Linked DNA regions of Callithrix jacchus. The main gene of each other region encodes a partner of the protein of the gene in region 3 in a complex. Links are inferred from orthologs where the notes say so. Each region holds a gene or a part of one and is shown on either strand. Other genes may lie near its edges.

Region 1 (3,745 bases), on a different chromosome or scaffold from region 3:
TGACTCTTCTCCCTCATTCCGCACCTATTCAGCAGGAAGTAGCCAGAAAGAAGCGGCATCCTGTATCTTCAAAAGGGTTGGAATGTAAGGCGGTTTGCCTCGAAGGGAAGCCAGACACACCCACCTCTGCACCTAGCTGTGCCACATGGCTCCCCTGGAAGGCTCCAGGCCGGTGCAACTCTGGCCAGCTCTCGAACCAGAAAACCCACCCAACAACCCGCCAACCAATGGCGGCCTGCCAACCAATGGTGGCCCACCCCGTCCCAATCCCGCTCTCCTGGAGCCAATCAGAGCACCCAGCCGTTGCTCCTTCCTCATAGCCATAAAAACCCCACGCCCCAGGAAGCCAGCGCAACTTCTCTGGCCCCCTTTCCCCAGACCAGAGAACCTCGCCCAGGAGCTGAATAAATTGGCATTTAATTTTCTTATACTGGCCTCAGTTTCCTCTTTCTAAACTCGGCAATAACCCTTACAGGTGAGACTGATCTCCGAAGCAGGTCCCCCACACACTCTATCAAAGTACCTGAGGCAGAATCCCCAATGGTGCACCCCCAGGGGGCTCGGTGGGTGCTGGTCTGGCTCCTGGGGAAGGCAGTCAACCCTGCCTCAGCAGGTCCAGCAGATAGGCCAAGTGGGATCTCAGGGTCCCGTGGATGGACAAGGGTTCAGCAATAGCAGCAGAAGGAACCCTAGGGCCATCCAGGTTCTCCAAAAGCTGGCGGCACCCCTGGTCTAGGCCAGGCTGCCATTGGGATCAGTCAGGCCCAGCAAGTCCTCTGCCAGGCTGGTGAGCTCATTCTCCTCAAGTGCCTCCACCAGGCGCTGCAGCGTGGCGCGGCGGCCCTCGGCCTGCACGAAGCGCCGCAGCAGCTGGAAGGCCTGCTCATACAACCCCTCGCGCTCGTACTCATAGGCCAGCGAGTCCAGCGCCGGGTCCCGCAGCGCTCTGCAGCTCCGCTGCAGCGAGCGCCCCACCTTGCGCCACTTTAGGCCCACGGAGCGTGCGAACGTCTGTTGGTCCTGCAGGCTCAGCGGCCGGTTCACTGCAGAAGGAGTGAGGAAGCGGGGTGAGGGGGGCGCCCCAGCGCCTATCCCACCCATCCCCACCCGGCGACGACACTGCTCCTCCCCAGACTCCAATCTCCTGGTGACCCTGCCTCTCCACCTGCCCCTCACCTACAGGCTGACCCTGGAACAGAAAAGTCTGGGCAGGCGTTGGAGGCGGCCGCGGCTTCACCTCCGACAGAGAGGGCACGGGGAGCTGAGAGGGGTCCAAAGAGACCTCCCTGTCGCCACCCTGGGCCCCCAAGCCGCACTTCAGGTTCCTCAGTGCATCCTCCAGCTCAGCCAGTTCTTCGTCCCGGAGCCGGTCGGGCTAAGGGAAGGGAACTTGCCGTCACCAGGGGCTGGGCCTCGGATTCCTGCCCTACCCCATCCTGACCCCAGCCCGGCCGCACCTGCTGGGCTAGGATGCAACTCAAACAGTACTCCTCGTCCGCCAGCAAAGCGTCCAGCCGTTCGGCGCCGGCGCGCAGCTCCAGTTGCAGCGATAGCGAGTGTTGGGAGACGGCGGCCGCCAGGCTCCTCTGCAGCGCGGCGCATAGCGCCCCCTCGCGGTAGGCGCGGAGGAAGCGGCTGCAGGGCTGGCGCCCACAGAATCGCAACTGCACGATCAGCTGCGGGTCGCTGCGATGGATCTTCAGCATCTGCAGCACGTCCGGGCTCCCACCGCTCTCTGCGGAGGCGGGCGGTCAGGCGCCGGGAGGTCAGGCGCCAGACGGTCCCCAAGCTCGGTCATTCTCCCGTGGTCAAGCCCCGTCCCATCCCCTGATCTAGGGTACAGTTACCCTGGAGTACCCAGATGGAAAGCAAAAATTGGGATGCAAACAGCAACAACCCAGAAAGAAGGCCAGGACCTATCACAGGGAGCACCCCAAGACAGAGTGGGTGCCACCTAGCCCCAGCTCCCATGTCCCAAATGAGAGCTGGCAAAAGAGAGTGACTTTGTAGCACAGAAAAGGAAACGTGTTCCCTAGGCTACCAAGCCTTCTGGGTAGGAGGCCAGCAGGGCAGAGGAGGGCGGGAGGTCTCAGGTCTTCAGCCTCCACCAAGCTCGGCTCCCACTGCTCGGGAAGAAGAGAGGGGGGCTCTCGTCGCTCTGAGGCCACGAACTGATCCCCCAACCCGCTTCAGCCTCCTGTGGCCTCTGCCCTGAGATGGGAAAGCGGGGCCTGGAAGGGTAGGTACTGGGGAGGGGTCTTGAGAAAGGAGTGCTGCAGTAAGAGAGGAAAAGAGGAGAGAGGCATCCACAATTAGTAGAAAGGAGTGAGCTGGCTGGTGGAGAGGGCAGGGATGGAGCAAAGGACGTTAGTGCACAAATAGGTAAATCATACACTGACTCGAGGACACATATATACCCTCAAGGTCATGCCACAAAAAGAGAGGACAGAGTCTACACATCCAGGGGTCCTCCGTCTTCCTCCTCCCACCCCAAATCTTTTCCCTAAAGGTGGTTAAGCCCAAGCCCACCTAGTAGAGGACCTGCAGCCTCAGCCCCACCCACAAAATGCCCCAGGCCACTTTTTCCTCTCCACATGCCAGCACACCCACGCACCTGCCAAGGCAGTCTGCAAAGCCCTGTACACTGCCATCTTCTGCTGGGGGTGCACGTAGGCATCCGACAGGACCACCTTGTCCAGCGAGGACTCCACAAACAGGTATGCGCTGCCCACACACTCTTCGTGCCCATTTTGCCCAGCTGCCATCTCACCTCCTGGAGATGCAGACAGTTGGGTATTCAGTTCATCTCCCTCCCTCTGCCCTGGAGACAACTGTCCAGCACCAGGTGGTTCAGCTGTCCCCACCACAGTAGCCTCAAGTCCCACATCGTTCAGGTGTACCCCAACACTAGTTGGCATACTTGGGACAGGAGTTCACCATCTCACAGGCAAGCCCCTTGAGTTCCTGGCTCTGTACAGAGTCCCACCCCAGACTTGCAGAAAGGACTGTCCCCCCACTGCGTTCTCAGGAAAAGAGACCAGCGTCACAGTGGAGGGGGAGCAGAGGTAGATCCTGCAACGGGGCTTCTCTGCCTCCTCCTCAGGCCTCTCTTATCAAAGTGGACAGGAGACACCTTCATTCTGGATGGTGCCCATGCCCCAAAGCCCACCAGGCCCATATCCTGGCCTTGCCTTCTGAATAGACTTGAGTCTAGTATCTCTGGAGGACCTCAGCCTAAGATTAAACCTCCTGTCTTCACTTCAAAGGACACCTGTAGTTTGCATCTACCCAGATTCCCTCCCCAAAGCCTGACTTACCTTTAGGGACTTCCTTTCTCCTTCTTCTCAATTCATGTGCCTGTGTCCCACTCCCTAGCTCCAGGTCAGGCTTGTGCACCATACCTGGCCAATCTGCATATTTCATTCACATTTCTGCAGTGATTAGTTTAGGGTGGAGTATAGGACTAAAGTTGGACCAATGAGAATCAACCCTGCAACTCTGGATGAGCCAATAGGAAAGAGGCATTAATTTCCCTTCCCTTGGGGCTAAACTGGAAGGAAAGGGTAGCCCTTCTTTTCCACTGCTTGGGAAGAGCCTGGCTGAGAGTGAAGCTGACACAGAAAAAAACAATCAAGAGATGGAGAAGTGCACTCCTAACCATACTAGACTCCTGGATCCAGCTGTCCCTGAAGCCATTGCATTTAGACTTTTTAGTTATGTGAGCTAAATAATTCCTTTTAGTTAT
Region 2 (3,645 bases), on a different chromosome or scaffold from region 3:
AGAAGAAAATATTAGATTTCTACTTATACTCATTTCTCAACAAAAATAAAAAAGAAATTGTGATATATTAATATTTGTATATTGGTTGCTGTGGCAGTTACACAAATCTTACAGACTGACACCAGTTACTTATTCCATCCTTGTTTCAAATGGTCACAAGTCATGAGTAGAATGTGATGTATTCTGAAACAAAGAGAAGGTACTCTATGACTGACTGACAATGGCACCACTTTCCCTTGGTCACTTAGAGCACACTGTGTTACACTATAATTTAGGAGTATCCACTGATTGAATTTTGTAGATTTTTACAATTTTAATTAAGCCAACTCTCACAAAATAGACCAAGTGGTTTAAAAAGATTTATTGAAACTACAGACTCATAATATTAATAATGTAAGCTCAAGCAAACACCCTTAATTGAATACATGTATTTTGAAAATGAGGATTCCTAGATTTGTTTACTCATGAAATTCAGTCAAAGAAAGAGTGAATGGTATCTTGGGAAAAAAGGTAAATGGCTCATACCACTGTCTATTATTAGAAAAGCTAATGTATCTGGCATTCAGAGATAATTTATTAACATTTGGCCTGCTAATTCAGAACTTTATGAACTGGCATTAGTAACAGTAAGTTTGAATTTGAAATTGCTATTAATATAAAATAAAATATCACTTAACAGTGGATTTTACAGTGTACAGAGTTTATCTTTTCCATTTCTATCCATGTAATCTGCATATAAATACTAGAATTTGTTGTAAATGTCAGGAATGGTAACCCAGGCAAAATAATCTAGAGTACAGGGCCTGAATCGACAGTGTTTTAATCAACACAAAAATGTCACAAAAGGTAAACTTTTATCCCTGTAATAGTTTTTCATTTTTCTTCGATTCATCTATATATTCCTGAATAATCTAATCAAATTAAAATCAAAGTAAAATATAGTTTGAATAATAGAAATGGCATGAAAATGTGTAATACTTACTCTATGTAGGAGTTCATTTAATGATCCATTTGGCATGTATTCAGTAACTATTCCCAAAAATTCAGGCTCATTGCAAATTCCCAAAATTGGAAGAATATAACTAAATCTAGCTTTGTGTAAAATTTCGGCTTCTCTTAAGACATCCTTTCTTTCACTAAGAAAAGAAAATGCATAATTACTTCAAGTAATACAAAATATACAATTAACATGCCTGTAAGATTAAGCCTGGATTTTTTCATTAATTAGCTATGTAACCTCATGTAAATTATGCAACTTTTCTGCACCTTAGTTTCATCATATTTAAAATAGAAATAATACCTACCCTATATATTCCACAGGTCTGTTTAGAGACCAAAATAACTTCTACAAGCCACTGATAGGTAAAAGTGCTATACACAGGTTATTATTATTGTACTTTTCCTAAGAAAGGGAAAGAACACAGTATTAACTTTATAAAGTCTGTATTAGAATAATTGGTGCTTGAACAAATTACAGGATTATGTTGTATTCAAATGAACATATTTTATTAGAATATTAAATTTTATGGTTGCATACCATGTAAACATCTTCCAAATATCCTGAATATTAAAATATTTAAATGTTATAGATTTAATAGCTGCATAAAAGTCAATAATATTTATAAATTATATGCCAGAACTCAGGAAAAGAACACTGAGAACAGGTAAATGCTTATTAATAAATTGCTGGTGTAACTCTGGCTCCCAGGTTCATTTACTTATTCATATGTAAAACAAATACATACTTAACTTTTTTTTCCCTATTTTTCTATGTCACTTAGGCTAGAGTCCAGTGGTGTGATCATAGCTTATTATAGACTGGAACTCCTGGATTCAAACAATCCGCCCACCTTAGCGTTCCCAGTAGCTAGCCCTACAGGCATGCTACCGCCTAGTTTTTTTTTTGTAGAGACGAGTTCTCACTATGATGTTGCCCAGGCTGGTCTCAAACTCCTGGGCTCAAGTGATTCTCTAGTTTCAGCCTCCCAAAGTGATGGGATTACAAGTGTGAGCCACCTTGCCTGGCCACATTTAACTTTTATTATGAATAAAGAACTATGATCAGCATTATGGAGAATATATAGATTAAAAAGATACAGTCTTTGCCTTCAAGTTGCTCAGAAATCTTTTAAGAAGAATAAAAATATAAGTCAGAATGTAAAACGTGCCACTAAAAGAGAAAAAGAAACTATGAGGAGTTCAGAAAAAAGAGAGTACATTTGAGGTTAGGGGAGTCATTTACAGAAAAGTAGGATTTTGATCCCAGCTATACCTTAAGAAAGCCGTACCTTAAGACTGGACAGAATTTAAACATTGGAGAGAAGGTACCTAAGACAAATGAGGCCTCCCTTGAGGAGAGGATGTGCCTTTCTTTTTAACCTATATATGCCTACCACTTGGAACAGTGTCCTGGGCATAGTAATATAGGAGATGTCCAATAGGTAGGTATCAAATGAATTCAAGGATGTTAAAGGGAGGGCTATGTTTGGGAAATTGTGAATTGTTTAATGCAGATCAGGATATGTAATATGAAAGGAGGAAGGTGAATAAGACAGGTTAGGGCCATATCTTAGTCTTAAAGCCAGGTTAGGAGGGTAAAACTTAATTTAGCAGTCATTAAATTGTGACTGATGGTGTATTTTGTTTTTGTTTTTTTTTTTAACATACAACACACACACTAGAAACTTACATATTTATTTTTGTGACACACCAGGTCTTGCTATGTTGCCCAGACTAGCCCTCCCTACTTTACCTCCTGAGTAGCCGCGACTACAGAGGTGTGCCAATGTGCCTGGTATGACTGAAAGCTTTTGAGTCAGGGAATGATAGTAGAATAAAATTTTAAGATGATTAACTTGGCAACAAGATGTAGGATCAGGAGAAAGTGTGAGAGTTTGAAATTCAGGTGTTAGGAGATTTTAATACCAGTTAAGATGTAAACCTAAAACCTAAACATAAAACTACAAAGGTAGCAGTGAAAATGGAAAGACAAACACTAGGTGAATAGAATGCTTGTGCTGTGGTGATTGACTATAGGGGATTAAAAAAAAAATGAAAGGGAATTAGAGATGTCATTTTTTTACCCTGGATGATTGGATGTGGGTTGCAGCAATGACAGAAATAGAAATGCTTCCAGGAGACGCCTATTAGGTAAGTAATGATGATAAGTTAATTCTTACACCTCCCAAGCTCTGAATGAATGGTTGTTGAAATATGAACAGCAATAGACATTCAGGACTAGACTAAGAGGACTACTTTAAAAACAAACAAAAAAAGCAAAAAAAAAGTCGTTTATTTTTTGAATAGGTCATATATTTATATTTCTTAAAATTTCAAGAGTAACAAGAAGGCATAAAGTGAAAAGCTTCTTTCATTCTCTCTGTCCGTCAATCACTTAATACTCCAACTGCAAGAAAACCAATTATATCAGTTTGTGAGGCCCATTTTAATTAAATGTCTATTCCCTAAATGGAAATAGGTCTGTATTTGCCCCAACAGATTTGGGCCAACAAGACACAGAGGATGATGACCCTGAAGATTCCTGGATACTAAGAACAATTGAGAGTGGATGCTGCAGAAGTCTCAGTGATACTTTACACACTCTTTCCTCCTCCCATTAAGAGTATGAGGCATTCTTCTTTCCAC
Region 3 (3,717 bases):
CAGAGCGCACGATTTAATCTCTCAGACTAATGACAGTTTAGCACCTTGACGCCTTCCACGATCTGGAAGGTAGGGGAGGGAGGCAGCCTGGCATATGGAGGAAAGAGAACATCCCAGGCCAAGCATCCCGGCTTTCAACAAAGGTGCCACCACCGAGTCACTCACTGAGGGAGCCTGGTCTCGGGCCTGAAAGTCTGGAATGTTCTGTTTCCTCAACTATGAGGTGGCAATAACTAACTTCACCTTGCTAGGACTTTTTAAGTATTAAATAACTCAAGAGAAAGTACCAGGGCAGTGCGAGCACGTAGTAGGGACTCAGCTCATTCGATTATTCCCACCTCCCCACCCGGGCCCCCAGGGAGGAAGCGAGGCGCTTGAGCCAGACTGGGCTGGTACAGCGGGGTGGGGGCCCATCACCCCGGAGCTACCTCCCCATCCACCATCCACCCCAGCCCGGCAGCTCACGCACGCCCATTTGCTGCCCTCGCTCCATCCGTATTGGGCGCATTAGCCAGCCCGGCGGCTCTGGTTACAGACGTCTGAATGACAAAGTGCCTCCATTACCGGCGCGGCCCGCCAGCCGACCCGCCGGGACGCGCTCTGGTTTCAGCGCTCTCTCGCCGCGGCCCAGGAAGAAACTCGGAACGCGCACAGCTCGCCCAGACGCAGCAGCCGCGCGCAGAGGCGGAGGCGGGAGCCGCAGGGGCTGCAGACGGCAGGTTCCGGTCCGGGTCCACCTTCACCAGCGCCCAGGCTCTCCGCGCCCAGCTCCCCTCCTTCCTTGAGTCTCGGCGCGGGGACCCTCGCTCCTGCTCAGACCGGGAGCCCACGTCGTCGTCCCTCCTCCCCGCCCCCCTGGTCCACGATGTCCCACCCGCAACGGAGCGGTGTCTCTAACCGGCAGCGTTAGTCAGCAGACGTGCCCGCGGTCACTCCCAAATCCCCGGACACGGCCACAGGTCCCGACAGCTCCAAAGAACCGGGGCTGAGCTTTTAGGGTGGGGCCCGCGCCCGGACAGGGTCTCTGCCCACCCTACCCGCAGGCTCCACTGCCACCTGACTCTGGGGAAGGTGTCAAGCCCGCCCCTGCTGGGAAACGCAGCCTTGACCCCGACCTGGGACAGCGGCTGCCCCCTGAAGAGGTGGGGGAGTGCGGAGCTGGGAACCAGGTTGGGGGAGTCTAGCCACAACTCTGGCCCAACTTGCTGTGAGATCTTGGCCAAGTCGTTTAAACTCTCAGAGCCTCAGTCTCCCTATCTGTAAAACCGGGATTTGGAGCGCAGCGCTCAAATGAAAGATGCTGGCAAGGAGAGTGAAGACACCTCCTCCATGGCCAGACCTTCCCGGGCATTCGGTTCATGGCCACACAGCAGGCCACACTTGACAATCTCGTCGGACTGCCGGGAGGACTGAGTCGCCGACCTTGGCCGAGTTGGTGACTCAGGACACGGCGCGGCAGAATCCGAGACGTCCGGGCGCCCCGGTCTCGTTAGGTACCCAGTGGCTTGCACCGAGAGCCAGGCGAGGCGCAGACACGATCCTGACCCTTCGAGGCGCGGGAGCCCACGGAGCGCGGTGGGCGCGGCGCTCGGGTCGCGCATCTCGGTAGGGGGCGGAGCGCAGCCCCAGACTCGCAGGCAGCAGCAGACGGCACTTGCCTCGCCCCGCAGCGCCCCCTGCCGGCTGCCTCCCGCCTGCGCGGGACGGGTCCCCGCCTAGTGCGCCCGGGCGCTCTGCACCCTGAGACGTAGGCGCCGCCAGCCGGGGTCCGGACACACCCGCTCCATTCCTCGCGATCCGCCGCGCTGCTTCAAGCAATGAGAACACGCGCGTCGGAGGAGCCCGCCGGCCATGGGGGAACTTGGGGAGCGGGTTCGACCTGGCGAAGTGGGTGCTCCCCTCCCAGCCTTAGATCGCAGCCACAATTCCGGGACTGGGAGAGGCCATGAGCAGGAGCGCGGGGACAGGCGCGGGAAATGTCCAAGACTCCGCTCTCACTTCTCGTCTCACTGTCCCTCAGTGGGCCCCGATCACTTTAGGGTGCGCGCCCCGCTCCGTCCGCTTTCCTTTTGCTTCCATCTCTCTGCAGCCCTGGCTGTTGCCCCTCTTCTGCCCTCCCTAATCCACTTCTGGTCCCCAACCTCTCCCTCCGACGCCCCTCCCCCCCATTGTCTGGCCGGTCCCCATTGTCCTTGCCGGGTCCCCTCTGCCTCCAATCCCTCCGACCTCCTCCATTGTTCCATCCCCTGGTCCCGGGCTACCCCCCACCAGCCCAGCTCGCCCCTCACATCTCTAGTCCGCTTCCCGTTCCCCGTCCTTTTCTCGCCTGGGTTCCGTCCCGCGACTCTCCAGAGACAGAGATGCTGAGGGGAGAGTCCCTCCGGGATCCCGGCATTGGAGTGTCCTCTTCCGAAGAACCCGGGCATCAGAGAGCCCCATGCCACCTCTCGAAAGACCCCTCCCAGCTCCCTCACCGCCCCCTACGGTACCTGAGGACCGGCATCCGTGCCCCGGTCGTGTCCGCATCTCCACCCTAGACTCAGGGTCGCCTCTGCGCTCCGAGAACCCTAGACCCTCCTTCGTGGTCCCAGCATCAGAGCGCCTCTCCCACCACCCACCCTCAGCATCTGGGACCCCAACGCTCTGTTCTGTTTCCTGGGTGGCGGCGCCCGGCTCTCCTCGGAGTTCTCATCCCGGGAAAGGGAGCGGGCCCCCTCGGGCTAACACTCACCCCCAGAAGCAGCAACAGCAGCAGGCGCGGCCCGTCCATGGCGCGGCCGGTGGCACCTGCCCCCATTGCTCGCCTCCCGCGGCAGCGCAAGGCTTCCAGCTCGGTCCGCTCTGCGGACGGATGGGGCTGCGCTGCGCCGTGCTCCAGCGCACCCCGCGCCCGCCGGAGCTGGCCGCGTCTTGGCTCACTCTGGCCGCGGGCGGGAGGGGCTGGGTGAAGCCAGTGCGGCGGCCCCGCCTCCGCCCCGCCCATCCCGCCCACCCCCGGAACCGCGCCCGCCCGCCCCGCCGCCTTAGGGTGGGGAGCGGAGGCAAAGGGAGGGCGTGCGGTTCCCCGCACCCCGCTGCCACTTCTCCTCGCCTTGTTCCTTAGAACCTCTCACCCATCCCGCCCTGGTACCCAGTTCCCGGCCCGCGCTACTGCGCGTCGGTCCCGGATGCTGTGGGGCCCAGGGCCCAGGGCGTCCCCACTGCGGTTCCCGTTCTCTCCGGCTGCGGCCCGCCGCAGGGTTCATTCTCTTACCCATCTTCCCCCGCCTCTGGCTTCACCTTCTCCCTGGAGCCTCGCTCCCTACCTGGCCACTATCAGTAAGAATGCCCGCTTGCCCTCCCTGCCCTTCATCTCTGTCCATCACCTCATCTCCACCCCTGTGCCCACCTTTCTACTTTCCAGTGAAGAAAGTCCCTGGGCAGAGTCCTAGGGGGAGGGGAAGGGCGCAAGTGGCCTGACTTCGGCCATGGACATTCAAGGTGGAGTCCATTTCCACATTTGATTCTCAAATGAGGGGTTCGAAGGGGTCACAGGTGTGCACACAGCGCACAGGAATACACATTCTCAGGCTCACCTGTAGGTGTGCTTGTGCACTTACGTGTGCCCACACTGTCCTCCATGCACTTGTGCCGACCTGTCTTACACATGCATCTCTGCAGGCATGCACACGCACATATGTTATTCAGACATGCAAAGTGCTTACCTACACATTCACA

The links.
Region 1: the proteins of NGFR (region 3) and TRADD are in contact, whole or in part, in an NMR structure (PDB 7CSQ), measured with the Homo sapiens proteins. The link is inferred for Callithrix jacchus from reciprocal best matches to the Homo sapiens genes NGFR and TRADD. Residues at the interface, in NP_002498.1 of Homo sapiens: Glu345, Glu346, Glu348, Lys349, Leu350, Asn352, Gly353, Ser354, Ala355, Glu379, Ala380, Cys381, Arg384, Glu420; in NP_001310481.1 of Homo sapiens: Thr201, Phe202, Asn211, Ala275, Glu276, Arg278, Arg279, Thr281, Gln283, Arg284, Glu287.
Region 2: the proteins of NGFR (region 3) and RIPK2 are in contact, whole or in part, in an NMR structure (PDB 2N83), measured with the Homo sapiens proteins. The link is inferred for Callithrix jacchus from reciprocal best matches to the Homo sapiens genes NGFR and RIPK2. Residues at the interface, in NP_002498.1 of Homo sapiens: Gly334, Leu335, Ser338, Leu339, Pro340, Lys343, Val347, Ser354, Ala355, Asp357, Arg360, His361, Gly364, Glu365, Tyr368, Pro370, Ile373, Asp374, Leu398, Asp399, Leu401, Leu402, Arg406, Arg407, Ile408, Gln409, Arg410, Ala411, Asp412, Val414; in NP_003812.1 of Homo sapiens: Gln437, Ser465, Arg466, Asp467, Leu468, Met470, Glu472, Asp495, Ile496, Gln497, Gly498, Glu499, Glu500, Lys503, Ile523, Leu524, Val526, Ser527, Arg528, Ser529, Pro530, Ser531, Leu532, Asn533, Leu534, Gln536.

Annotation. Positions count from the first base shown.
Region 1 is NC_133521.1:24,663,111-24,666,855, forward strand, and holds the end of TRADD (tumor necrosis factor receptor type 1-associated DEATH domain protein), read right to left. Parts: intron 3,432-3,745; 5' UTR 3,424-3,431; coding exon 3,318-3,423; intron 2,774-3,317; coding exon 2,615-2,773; intron 1,736-2,614; coding exon 1,458-1,735; intron 1,376-1,457; coding exon 1,177-1,375; intron 1,044-1,176; coding exon 733-1,043; 3' UTR 402-732; downstream 1-401. UniProt on the Homo sapiens protein: Adapter molecule for TNFRSF1A/TNFR1 that specifically associates with the cytoplasmic domain of activated TNFRSF1A/TNFR1 mediating its interaction with FADD.
Region 2 is NC_133517.1:37,387,853-37,391,497, forward strand, and holds part of RIPK2 (receptor-interacting serine/threonine-protein kinase 2), read right to left. Parts: intron 1,137-3,645; coding exon 983-1,136; intron 1-982.
Region 3 is NC_133506.1:116,811,824-116,815,540, forward strand, and holds the start of NGFR (tumor necrosis factor receptor superfamily member 16), read right to left. Parts: upstream 2,923-3,717; 5' UTR 2,798-2,922; coding exon 2,732-2,797; intron 1-2,731. UniProt on the Homo sapiens protein: Low affinity receptor which can bind to NGF, BDNF, NTF3, and NTF4. Forms a heterodimeric receptor with SORCS2 that binds the precursor forms of NGF, BDNF and NTF3 with high affinity, and has much lower affinity for mature NGF and BDNF.